Linked DNA regions of Mus musculus: all the other regions are reported to be linked to region 3. The links are microRNA targets in miRTarBase. Many come from high-throughput screens and were not tested one by one. Region 3 holds a microRNA gene; each other region holds the end of a gene's coding sequence.

Region 1 (4,263 bases), not on the chromosome of region 3:
TTTCAAGCAGTAACATAATTGTGCCTATACCTTTAATTCCAGTAGTAGGGAGCCAGAGGCAGGTAGATCTCTGAGGTCAAGGACAGCCTGGTCTTCTATAAAGCAAGTTCCAGGACAGCCAGGCCTACACAGAGAAATCGTGTCTTGAAAAACAAAACAGCAGGCGGGGAGTGGTGGCGAATGCCTTTAATCCCAGCATTTGGAAGGCAGAGACAGGTGGATTTCTGAGTTTGAGGCCAGCCTGGTCTACAAAGTGAGTTCCAGGACAGCCCTAAAAAAAAAAAAGAAAGAAAGAAAGAAAGAAAGAAAGAAAGAAAGAAAGAAAGGAAGGAAGGAAGGAAGGAAGGAAGGAAGGAAGGAAGGAAGAAAGAAAGAAAGAAAGAAAGAAAGAAAGAAAGAAAGAAAGAAAGAAAGAAAGAAAGAAAAGACCAACAAAACCAAAGGGGAAGGGTGTTGTGTCAATATTTTATGAGGAGCTGTGACTATACTGAGCAAATTCTTCCCTAGCTCTAAATACCACTGTATAAATTTGTTAATGTGTTTATGTGTAAATGCACAGAGATATAATCCTAATTATTAATGGTTTCTATAATAAGAGACTATTATCCTTCTGGTTAGTTTCTGGTACAGAATATAAGACCCACCAACAAAGGAAGTCATTATAAGCATTGTGGGAGGGGCGTGTCTGGCCCAGTGGTTTCTGCTAGCTACACTGATGTGTTGCTATAAATGATATGATTTTCAGTGTTCATGATTTCAAAATATCGCATAATTACCATTCAGCACATTGGGGTGGGAGATGCTTTTGTATTAATTCATTATCACTTGACTCAGGTCATGAATTTATAATAAGCCACAGCTTTTTGTTTCTTTTCAAAACAAGAAAAATATCAAGTATGGAAGGTTATAAAATATAATACTAGGTGTGAGAATTAGGTTTTTACGTTCCAAAAAAAAAAAAAAAGTCAGGATGGTCACTTTCATCACTCCAAGAGTAACAGCCATAGGTAAAATACTATCTCTAATGCTTGTGAATTGCTAGAAAAATCTGAACAGTAAAGAACTTTTCAACAGAAACTATAGCATTGATGGGTGCATTGGCACATTCAGTACTCAGGAGGCTAACACAGGAAGATCAGGAGTTCTAGGATAGCCTAAGCTACCTCACCAGACTTAAAAAGAAAGGAAGAGAGAAAAGAAATGAGGGAGGGATGAAGGAAAAATGAAAAGAACTAAATTATATACTCAGTTTTGTGCCTGGTTAAAACAAAACAAAACAAAACAAAACAAAACAAACAAAGAAACAGGCTGAATATAAATTCAACAACCACTAAACCTTTGTGGAATGAGGTAGGGTTAAAATCCAAAGACCAGAAGCATAATCAGCTCAATGCCCAGATGACCTCTCATTTCCTATGGTACAATGTTAACTTTACTGCTACTATAAGGAACAGAATTCAGAATAAAACCAATTCTAAGAAGGAATTATCTTTGATGCAATATTCTAGGAGGATAGTATCCATTTACACTCAGGGTATAGTCAGAAATGACACATGAAATAAAAGTAGCTTGGATCATGCATATATTTAATAGTAAAACGGTCATTAACAATAAAAATTAGAAAATTTGGTGAGACCTCAGTGCTGTGAAAGAAAATGAGACAAGTAAAAAAGACAGCAAGTGTCCCAGGAGGTGATGCCAGGAGTCAGCAGAGGCAAACTGGGCTGACAGTTACAGAGTCTACGGAACGGGTAAAAACGTCCCTATGTATCTGAGTCTTGGAAGCAGGCATTCTTACTGTAGACTGCACAGAATGGAGGCAGTTACAGTGAGGCAGGACAGAAGAGCAATGAGAAATCAGGATAAGGAGATGGGGAAACCAGGATACAATTACATAGAGATGACTCTAAGGCCTTTTGTTTCTTCTAAACTCTTAAGTTTTAAAGCATGTCACTTAATTCCAGATGGTGAGTTGCAGAGTACAGTAAGGGAACGGTGGGATGGACTGGGATGACAGGTGCCTGCTCTCAGAGAGCTTACAGCCTATGTGAGACAGATGCTTCCCCCTCACCCACCCTGGGTTCACTACAAAACATTTATAACGTGAAACACATACAAATAAATATACATATGGATAACGTAGGAATGCTAAGAAGTACTGTGTTAACAACTTCGTAGGGCTCCCTAGGTCAGTCAGTGAGGGTTTCCTAAAGGAAAAGAGTGTCAGTATGATGGTAGTGGAGGGTCAGAGGGTAGAGTTTGTGCAAAGGTACAGAAGTTGGGATAAATATGTCATTTCAGTAACCAATTAGCTTGATTAGAGGAAATATCTAACAGAGCTGGTTAGAGAGAATAAACAGCCACCTGGGAGTCTGAAGCCTCAGGATCCCAAGTTCAAAGCCAGCCTCAGCAACCTGTCTGTAAACAAAAAGTGTAAGTAAGAGAAGGCTCCTGAGGGCACAGCTCAGGTTCAGCACTTCCTAAGCATGTTTAAGAACCTAGCTTAATCTCCAGGGCATGTGCACGGGCTCGCATGTGTGCCTGTGTGTGTGTGTGTGTGTGTGTGTGTGTGTGTAACAGTAGAGAGAGCAATTCGGTAAAAGAAAATGTAATGCTAGAACTGGTCCTTTAAGCAAAATGAACAACTTATGTTTTCTTAGGTAAGGGTGTGTGGCGACAGGTCCGGTACCCACTCCACTGCTTTCTACGTTCTGTAGTTAAGGAAAAGAACTAGCAATGAAAAAGGCCAGCAAGCCTTGCCTAAGCATGGCACTCTAGAGATGTGGGGCCCATGTGCGGGGATCCTAAGGAATGATGCTCAAGGTTGTACACACATAATAAATAAAAAGGAGCTGGCAACGAGACAGTGCAGAGGCACTCAGCTTCTATAGGAACTCTTATCATATGACACACAGGTTTCCAAGGCAAGGAAATACACGCAATGAAATCACTATGTATAGATCTATCACCCAAAGGCTACTCAGACCCTTAATTCTAAATGTTATATCAGAATATCCTTCACCTTAGCAACTAAAAATTGGGTGAGGAACAGACACATGTATTTATTCCTTTCTCTCTTTTCTTTTTGGCTTTTTTAGACAGATGGCCTAGGGAAACTTATGTAGCCCAGACTGACTCCAAAACTCCTGGCAATCCTTTTGCCAAAAGTCCTGAGTGCTGAAATTATGGGTATGTGCCATAACACCTAGCAAATAGATGTTGACAGCAAGTTGTTTGCCTTTTAGCTACTGTGACAATCAACTTTGATTCTAACATTTTAGAAACTAGAGGGTGAAAGAGCCATAATCTACGCGGAATGCTCATGTCCCTAAAGGAGGACAGGTCGGAAAGGGCCCAATTTTCTCCTCATGTTTTAAGTGGAAGGGTGAAACATCGCACACTGAAAAGAGGCTGCTCTCAGCCTAAGCAACGAGGATCTCCTTCGTGGCGCTGGCTGACCTGAAGCTGCTCCCCGAGAGGAAAGAGAAAGCGCTCACTCAGGCCCGGTGTTCAGCAGCAGCCAGAGTCAGGCCCTATGTCAGAAACGTTCTGCTGAGGGGAGCACGGTCCTACTGAGGAGGTAATTGACTGCTGGGGCCCAATCTTGATGCCATTTGCCTGTAAAGGAGAAAGGCAGCAATTCCTGCATCAGAGCTGAAGAGAATTCGAAGGAAGGACAGAGATACAGGAGAACCCTTTAGTTAAATTCTAAGAATTGTGTCCTCTAGACAAACTGTTGAAAGAGTGAGATGACTGGTTATGAGGAGAGCCAGTTGGTGAGGGTGGAGTTGGCTTGTTTCAAGATGCACACAGATTTCATAGCTGTCTACAGAATTCAGGTGTGACGGAGGGGGCGCTCAGCAGGGGAAATACTTGCCATATAAGCATGACGACCACAATTAGATCCCTAGAAACCAGACAGAAGCCAGACGGGCATAGCAGCTCACCTACAATCCCAGTCCTTAGAAGCAAAGATACAGGGAGTCCCCAGAGCAAACCTGCCTCAGTGTGTAAGGTGAACAGCAATGAAAAGACACCTGTTGCCTCCAGATGAACACCCACATTTTTCCCAACACATATGTAAACATGCATATATATACATGCTCATCACATACAATATACATAAGAAAAAAATTCTTTTTTTAAAAGAGTAAGCAAAGCAAAAGAGTAGAAGTGGCAAACAAATTAGCATATGATTCTTTGTTTTGTCTCAGAATTTTCCCTCCTAAGAAATGAAAAATCCTCTCTCTCTCTCCAATAGTA
Region 2 (4,263 bases), not on the chromosome of region 3:
ACTCTCAAAAACAAAACAAACAACAAACAAACAAATAAAATGGTCCCACTGTAACAATGCCATGGAAAGAACCACACTGCACAAGAAAGGAGGGTATAGCGGCTAAAATTGGTGTCGAGTAAATTTTTGTTATTGCCCTTTATTCTATACACTTAATATGTTACACTTTTATATAACACTGTAATAAACATTAGTCCTTTAAAACAAAAACATTACATAAAGACAAAAAAAAAAGCCAACTCCTTCCCCACCCCACCCCCCAAAAACCCAAAAAGCAAAACCCAGCAGGCCATCCAGACAATCTTCTTGTCAACTCTCCAGGCTACTTGGTCTGTCCGATGATGTCAGATATACATTCTTCACCACCATGACAATCACACTAGATGCTAATAAAGCACATGAAGTTAAAAATAAAACTCTTAAGAAGGACAGTACTACCTGAAACTTCTAGGGGAGTTTGCAGCACAGGTGTTGTTTAAGGCCACCCCTTCCTGATACAGTCTAATATTATATCAGCTCCATCTCACACCCCAACATTTAGAAAACTAAGTCCTCGTTTTCTTTTAAGGAATATGTGGACTGTTTGACCCAATACAAAATGCTAGTTCTGAACACCTAAAGCAGCTCCCTCTTTGGGATACACTTTACCAAGGCCGCTACTCCATCCTGGAGAACATGGGCTTGGCAGGTCTCCCAGGAAGCTAGATCAAAGATGGCATCTCTCTAGGACAAGACCAAAGGGTGCCTCAGTTTACTAAGTGACTGTACTCACCTATCCCCCGGGCTTCTCAGTGCTAAATAAGACAATAATAAAGTGTCATTTAGTGCAGTTGTCACTGTGCAGCCCTACTACCCCAGGCCACTGCTGTCAGGAAAAACATTCCAACCCCTTTGACCTTTGTGGCTTTTTTTTTTTTTTTTTTTGGTTCTAGACACTGAACCCAAGGCCATGTGCAGGCTAAGCACATTCTACCCTGAGTGCTCCAACCTGTTTGACAGCTCAAGCAAAAATACAGAAAAGCATCCTGGGAGCTGCCAGGTGTTCAGTTTCCCATTCTCCTGCTCTGGCTGTAACAGCATTGCAGCCTTTCCTTGGTTTTCTTGAGCATTAGTGTTAACATGGCTGCCTAGCCCTGTCCCTTAAACTTGACAGAGTCAGAAGTGACTCTCTTTGGTCTGGCAACAACTAGGATAGTCCTCTTCCTGAGAACACTGAAAGATTGCTCAGTCAAGAAGCCAGTCATCTGGGCCTCAGATACAGCTCTTGGGCTCAGACTCTGCCGGCATTTTTTCTGATTGCTCTGCAGAAAGGCCTGTCACTCCATTCTGAGGCCAGACTTTGAGCTCCCGAGAAGCAGCCGGGTGTCAGTGCTGGGCTGGAGCTGTGGCAACTGTTTTGAAGGATGGCACTCTTCATGCCACCCTTCTTCCTCACTCAGCCCAGAGGTAAATCTTCAAAACTTTGGCCCTGTCAAGCCCTGTACTACCCAAGTGCCACCACACTTCTCTGACCGCCTAGTGTCTTCCCAAGTGATATACAATACAGTACATTTCGTGGCATTTTATCGCTGAAATAATAGTAGATGCCAAAAACCACAGAATCAAAAAATAGCTTACAATGTTATGAAGTACAACACACACAAATTAGACATATGTGTTCACATACTCAGCCCGCTGAGCATTGAAATACCAACACCAAATACCCCCAATGTGGCCTTTGGCTTGCCCGGATACTCTCAGGACTATCGTGGGCCTTGCTCGGCTACTCTAATGAATGAACTATACAACTCCTCCTCCTTTCCCTAAGGCATTAATCTCTCTGCTCCTCCCACTGAGCAGAAAATGATGAAAACTGGCTTTTTAAAATTAAAAGAAGGAACCTGTAATCTGACAGGAGACGAAAAAGAGACTCTGAATGAGGGAACAAAACTCTAACCTCCACTTAGGAGTCTGAGTGTGGGCTAAGTGGTCCAAAGAATGTTAGGAATATAGTTCCATACTGGAGCTACCGCCTCTTTATTACAGCTAGACTCAAGAGCAGGGTCAGCAGTCTTCTAACTACACAAGATCTCAGGTTTCACGCACCACAGACCTAACAAGCTGAGACGACTCATTTCTTCCCTCCTGACTCCTTGGCTTCCTGTACGTCCTACTGTCTCCAGAGAGCAACATGTTAACCCTCAGAGTAGAGTAACTAAGTATAGTTGAGTAGGTGTTAAAATTCTAAAAGCTAGACTAAGCATTCTGCCAAAATGAACCAGAGCCAAGGAACCCAAAGACAATGGCCCGCCACTTGTCCATTCCAGTTTGCATGTAGAAAGCATTACCTGGCGTTTCTGAAGAGCTGTGAGTGTGTAGACCACCATGCTCAACTGCACAATTATCAGAGTTCATGGTGCAGAGTGTTCAAAGTGAACTTGGAAAGCTATATGGAGCTGGAGCATAGCCCATGGGAGAGTGCTTACCAGCAATATCTGAGCAGTGGGATTGATCCCTAGCACGGAAGAAGAAAGGAGCGAGTTATATAGTTAGAAGCTATGCATGGTAGCATATGGATGACTTAAGGCTAGCCTGGGCTACATCCCATTAAAAACAACAAAATTATAGCCTATTTCTGACTAGATGCTCAAGCCCAAGTACCATGTTATCTGGTTTATTCCCTCCTTTCTTTTTTGAGGAAAAAGAAGGGTAGAGGGTGGGGAAAGACACAAGAATCAAACAGATTCTGTTCTGGGTTAGCTCTGCCCCACAGAAACCAGGGCTCCCTGGCCCTGGAAATGTAAACACACTGGGTTGTGAGGACAGACAGCTTCATGTCTAACTGCCTCCTGGGTCTTTGACTGTAACAACCTGAGATCCTGGCTATAAAGACCAAGAACCAGACAACCTCAGGTCTATCTGGCTAGGTTGGTTTGGTTTTTGCCTTTATGACCATACAATCTGGAACTAAGGTCATGTTTCTAAGTGGTCTCTACCGCTGGACTGATGCCCTGCACTGCAAGCCTGTCTTGTTTTAGTGACACACAGCGAGCAGACAGTGGTAACAGTTGTCTCCTTTTCAGTTCTGAGGCCAGAACATCACATTCTTCAGCTTTTAAACATCTGAGACAGTCTTTTGCCAAAGAGGCAGTGTAAGGTAGTGTGAACACTAAACAGCCACTGACTTCTTCACTGCCCAGGAGCCATCCCTACCCAGGAAGGCTTCGAGTTGCCACCAAGCACCAGTTCCCTTGGGAGCCTCCTTAATGAACAAATGACAAATTCTCCCCATGGCCAAAAGGTGAGAGGGAAGGAAGGAACAGAGTGGAAGAGAAAGGGTTTTGTCTTCAAGTAGAATCGTCTAGTCCTCTGTTTGGTTGTTCAGAGCTGCACTTGCAGAGCCGGTCCATAATGCTTCGGAGCATAGGCTGCACGATGCCCAAGAGGGGCCTCTTCAAGGGGTCACCATCCCAACACGCCTCCATCAACTGCCAGCACTCCTCATCAAACACAGGAAGACGCTCTGGACGGGTCCCTAGAGAAAAGAGCAAGGAAGTGAAGCCAGTCTGGGAGAGCAAAGGGTTTGGGTTTCCACAGCAGACACCTCAGCTGTAATGCAACAGGAATGGTGGAAACTGGTATAATGCTGCCAGTTAGCAAAGGTCTGGTTTATAGTGTCCCTTCAGCATTATATGATGGTCTGTCTGATGTGGCCATGCTGTGGAGTGGCCAGAAGATGAGGGTGCCCTGCTGTGGTATCCAGGCTGTCTGCTCTCAGAGAGTTCAAGCCAAGTGGCTTGGTGAGTCTTACCTCTGCGCACATTATTCCAGAGATGGTCTTTGCTAGCACACCTCTCAAATGCCTCAGGGAGCTTGATAGAGCCGGAGCAGATATACCAAAAAAGGATCCCAAAAGCATAGACGTCCACAGAGTTATCATACTTTCCTACAGTAAAGACAGACGAGCGATAGTGAGCCACCATCTTGTGTCTATGGTTCCTTACACAATTTTGAAAAGCTTTTAATGTCTACTGTTCTTCACAACTTGCCTGGAAGGCAGGGCACACCTGTAGTGCCCATTTTATAATATGGAAAGCTAGATGCTAAGACAGCCAAGACAAAAATTTGTCAAAACAGAAGGAAAATCAGGCCATTCATTTTATTGGGACAGTCTGCAAGATCAGTTCTATAAGGGGCCATATTAGAGAACTATGGGTGGGACTCAGAAAATAAAAATTATAAAGACTGGCAGGTGTGGTGGTGGACACCTGTAATCCCAGCACT
Region 3 (4,263 bases):
GATGCCTTTGAAGACGAAGTATAAGGTCCAGGGTATACAAAGTAAGGAGCTTGTTGAACATTACTCACTCTGAGAGACCATGTGTACACGCACTTAAGTCTCACTGACATTAATGTGTATAGGGATTGACACTAAAAAGCTTTCAGGAGAAATAGTACTCAGCAGAGAAGAGCCCACCAACTGCTTTTCCATGGTCAGCACTGAAATAACATACATAAAACTTTCAAAATATGGACTAAGCAGGGCATGAATGAGAGAGAGAACAAAGGGGTTAGTTGATTAGAGTGGCTGAAGGGAAGAAACGAAAGGGGAGAATTATAAAATATTTTAATTTAAAAAGCACTTAAAAATTAAAATGAAACTAAACTTATTTTCCATAGTGCTATGTCCCTAATTTTAAATATTTTCACCTATGAGAAATAGGAATTAGATGAAAGGTTCCCCCTATATCTTCACCTAAACAATGTCCTGTGAAGGTAGCTACAATCGATCTTAGAATCAGAAAATACTCTTGCATGTGCATCTATGTTCTTACATTTACAATGACAGTACTTTATGAGTATCCTTATATTGAGAGAGATACCCCAAACTGTTTAAACTGTTTAAACCCTTTTCTTAAAGAGACTTCCTCCACTGCCAGAGATCTTGAATAGCCTCCTGGTCAGTCATCCGGAAACAATTCTTCACATAATTAATGAACTTGGCTTCCACTTTGGGAAGAGAACCGCCTTTTTCTATACTTGCTTGCATTTTTGCCTTAATGTCTTCTACAGAACTAGGTCCTTTTGGTGTTTTAGGAGTCTTTTCCTGTTTTTTGAAGGACTCTTGACCCTTTGATCTCGGTGTTGACGGTTTTAAGTCTTTTCCATTTTGGTTTGATTTTTGTGCATTTTTGGCTGGGGTATCTCGTACAGATTTCTTCACTGGGACCTTTTCTTCAGTTTCCTCTTCATCAAAATCATCATCATCATCATCCTCATCATCCTCATCATCGTCCTCATCATCTTCATCAAGTTTTACTTTTTTCTGTATCCTTATATTGAGAGAGGTTAGTAGAAAGTGACTGGTATCTGTCCTATATCACAATGCACACACCAAAATGAATGGAGACATATCATCTCATCTGACTCTTGCATTACCAAGAAGTTTCAGGAGTCCTTAACTCAAGTTCTTAGGGAATATATATACTCTCCTTCACTTTCTATCTCTACCACTTCTGGATCAGAGAGATAAAAGTCCTTTAACTTTATTTAATTACTGGGAAGGAAATTATTTTTTTTTTCTTTAGATTATCTTCTTTCTTTACATTCTCTATTTTGAAAGTACCCATGAGGTGAAACATGGATAGTCTACACTATGTTGAAAAAGTAAGGATATGGGGCAACAAAGACTCAAACCGTTTCTGTGTTTAGTCTTTCATTAACACAGTGTACCTCATTTTCTTTTTATGAAAGCATAATTCTTAATTTTAGCACCTTGTTCTCCTTTTCCTTACCTAACATAGATGCTTGAATGCTGTCCCATGAAAGTGATTAAAAAGATACACACAATTGTATAGTAAGGCTTTGTGATCATCCTGAAAACCATTATCAGTGATCTTACATGGAAAGCACTAATACTACCTAGAACCTATCAAAAATAACTGAATTAAAGAGCAGTACTTTACCTGGAAGATTTGTCGGTAGTCCAACTGTCTAACAGCTTCTTGAGTGAGATATAACATAAAGCATGAAGATATGGAGGTATCATCCATGTAGGCTAATCATCCCAAGCAGTTTTCATCACTTCACCAATTACAGCATGACATATTAACATTGATTTATTTATTTTCAACTGTTTGGGAATACAAAATATACTTTGTCACCTTGCATGATAAAGGAAGACCTCTTGACCTATAGCCAGATAGCCAGTGTGACTTTAAGATTAATCAGTGATATACTTTGCAAATGACTTTTAAAAACTAGGTAATGAAAATCTTCTAAAAGAATCAGAATATTGGGAGCATAGGATGAGAATACAACACAATTGTACCTGTATATCGCTGTTCAATTACTGGAGAAAGTTACAGAATACAGAAGATAGGAACTTGGTCTATTTAAATTCAAATCACTGATACCATCATAATTTCAGTGACTTGAATTTAAATCTGTTTGGTTCTTTTTCACTTAGGGCCATATTTATAAAGGAAGACTCTAATTACTTGTAGCTTTTCAGTCCACTTTCGTGCACTCATCATCTAAGTTGTCACAAGATATTTGAATTGATATTCAGTTGGGCCTGAAATCATTGATTGGTTTTATTTCTGATATTTATATTCATGATCCCTATTGAGACTGGCATGCAATTTTCTGTTCTTATAATTTGTATAATTTGGGTTCTGTGCAAGCTAGAATAATGCTAACTTCCACAACATTTAAACTTAAAAAAAAAATGAGAGCATAGTTTCTTCAGGTACAAGGAAGCAGATTCTGGAGCCATAATAAGGATGTATAGTTTCTTCATCTTTACTACCCAAGGCCACAACAAATGAAGAACATGATGAGCTTTACTTTACCCAGCATGGTGGCTTTCACCTACACTTCACGTGATTAGCAACCATGTGAGTAGAGCACTGCCCAGGTACTCTAGAACCAGCCCATCTGAAGTCTTTATTTCAACATGTGAAATAAAATTGAATAGAACATTGAAGTAAGTCGTCAACAATAATTACTTTTTTTTTTTAACCACACATTCTTCTTCGAAGCTGTCTTCTCATGTTCCACCATTAGGATTTTTCTTAGTATACTTCTAAAGTTCTACAACCGTTCTCTTCTCTATGGTTATAGATCTGAAGATATCATGAAGATGGATGAAGTATAATCCAGAATCAGTACATTTATCTTCTCTATGAAGGCATAATATGACCATATGGCTACCATCCCTGCGTTTGTTGAGCCTTACAATACTGAGAGCTGTTGCAGTTACTTATAGAATAAAGTAACTGCTACTTCTCTCAGCATTATAGTGCACACGAATTATTATTATTATCAGCTGACTTCAAAAACAACTTTCATGATTCTTCTCAGTATGACATGAATGCAATGTTATTTCTTTACACATAATTCCTCAGGAAGTATAATCATATTTTCCATTATCTTCCATCTCCATTTCAAGGTATCAGACTTGCTTCTTTCTTGATACTCCTCGAATCTGTATGAATTCAAGAGGTTAAGAATTAACAAGTCATAGCCGGGCGTGAATCCCATCACTCGGAAGGCAGAGGCAGGCGGATTTCTGAGTTCGTTTAAGGCCAGCCTGGTCAACAGAGAAACCCTGTCTCAAAAAAACAAAACAAAACAAAACAAAAATAGAATTAACAAGACAAATATTCTTATAAATATATAGGTCAGGTGACACCAAAGAATAACAAATGAACAAGGCAAGACCTCAAGATACCTGCAATGATTTAGTCATCAGCATCAAGAGAATATATCAAATGAAGGCTTCAGTATGTATTAATCTGTACTTTGAGATAGCATAGACTGATCCTTTGTACTTCATCTCAACAACAACAATTTCATCCAACAGCTTTTATCACAATCTTCACAATTAAACACACCCCCACTAAACTGTGTCTGTAAATGTTTGATTTCACACTTAAGCTGATGATATTGAAAATCCAATTGATTTTGCATGTACATTTCACATAAAAACCTGTCACTACCCTAACTTAAAGAGAAATGATGATCACAACAAAACATATTCTTTTATCAAACTTAATTATAATTATGACCAAAGTGAATATGAAATTGTAAAGGATTAATAAAAATATAATTTAAAAAATGTGGATTTTAGGTCAAAAGTTTTATGGGTGGGTTCGTGTCCTTATCTTTCACAGGAGGTCCTGCCTGTTTATAGGAGGTGGCCTCTTCAGGTTCCATGTCCACATTGTTAGGCATCTCAGCTAAGGTCACACACAATGGCTCCTGGGAGCCTTCCCTATCCTAGGTCTCAGGGTCTGCTTAGAGATTACCTCCACCCGTAAGTCCCCTGCAAGATAGAGATTTCCATTCATTCTCCTGGGCCTATGGGCCTCTTTCTTTTCCCTTCCCACACCTGATCCTGCAAACATATCCCCCTCACATACCCACATTGCTCCCTCTGCCTCCCATGACAGTTCTGTTACCCTTTTTAAGTGTGATTCAAGCATCTTCAATTGGGCCTTCCTTCTTGTTTAACTTCTTAGGGTCTGTGGGCGTATGTCATGGGTATAAGTATGTACAT

The links. Region 3 holds the annotated microRNA mmu-miR-742-3p (GAAAGCCACCAUGCUGGGUAAA, at 2,550-2,571, opposite strand). A microRNA usually pairs through its seed, bases 2 to 8, with sites in the 3' UTR of a target mRNA and lowers its output. Matches are read on the target gene's strand: a 7mer-m8 pairs with bases 2 to 8, a 7mer-A1 pairs with bases 2 to 7 and ends in A, and an 8mer does both.
Region 1: miRTarBase lists Rab2b as a target of mmu-miR-742-3p. Seed matches in the 3' UTR shown: 7mer-m8 at 2,397-2,403.
Region 2: the mRNA of Dstyk is a reported target of mmu-miR-742-3p. Seed matches in the 3' UTR shown: 7mer-m8 at 232-238.

What each region holds. Positions count from the first base shown.
Region 1 is chr14:52,260,200-52,264,462 of GRCm38, forward strand. It overlaps Rab2b (RAB2B, member RAS oncogene family), which reads right to left. Exons shown (of 8, transcript NM_172601.3): 8 at 1,560-3,618. The coding sequence ends at 3,511. Among named protein-coding and RNA genes, the nearest start is that of Chd8, 4.6 kb to the left of the region's middle.
Region 2 is chr1:132,462,575-132,466,837 of GRCm38, reverse strand. Dstyk (dual serine/threonine and tyrosine protein kinase) reads right to left here. Exons shown (of 13, transcript NM_172516.4): 12 at 3,791-3,925; 13 at 1-3,514. The coding sequence ends at 3,327. 6030442K20Rik (RIKEN cDNA 6030442K20 gene) reads left to right here. Exons shown (of 2, transcript NR_165177.1): 2 at 1-210. Among named protein-coding and RNA genes, the nearest start is that of 6030442K20Rik, 12 kb to the left of the region's middle.
Region 3 is chrX:66,777,827-66,782,089 of GRCm38, forward strand. It overlaps Mir742 (microRNA 742), which reads right to left and starts at 2,611; the gene lies at 2,547-2,611. Mir883a (microRNA 883a) reads right to left here and starts at 3,007; the gene lies at 2,932-3,007. It also overlaps the pseudogene Gm14681.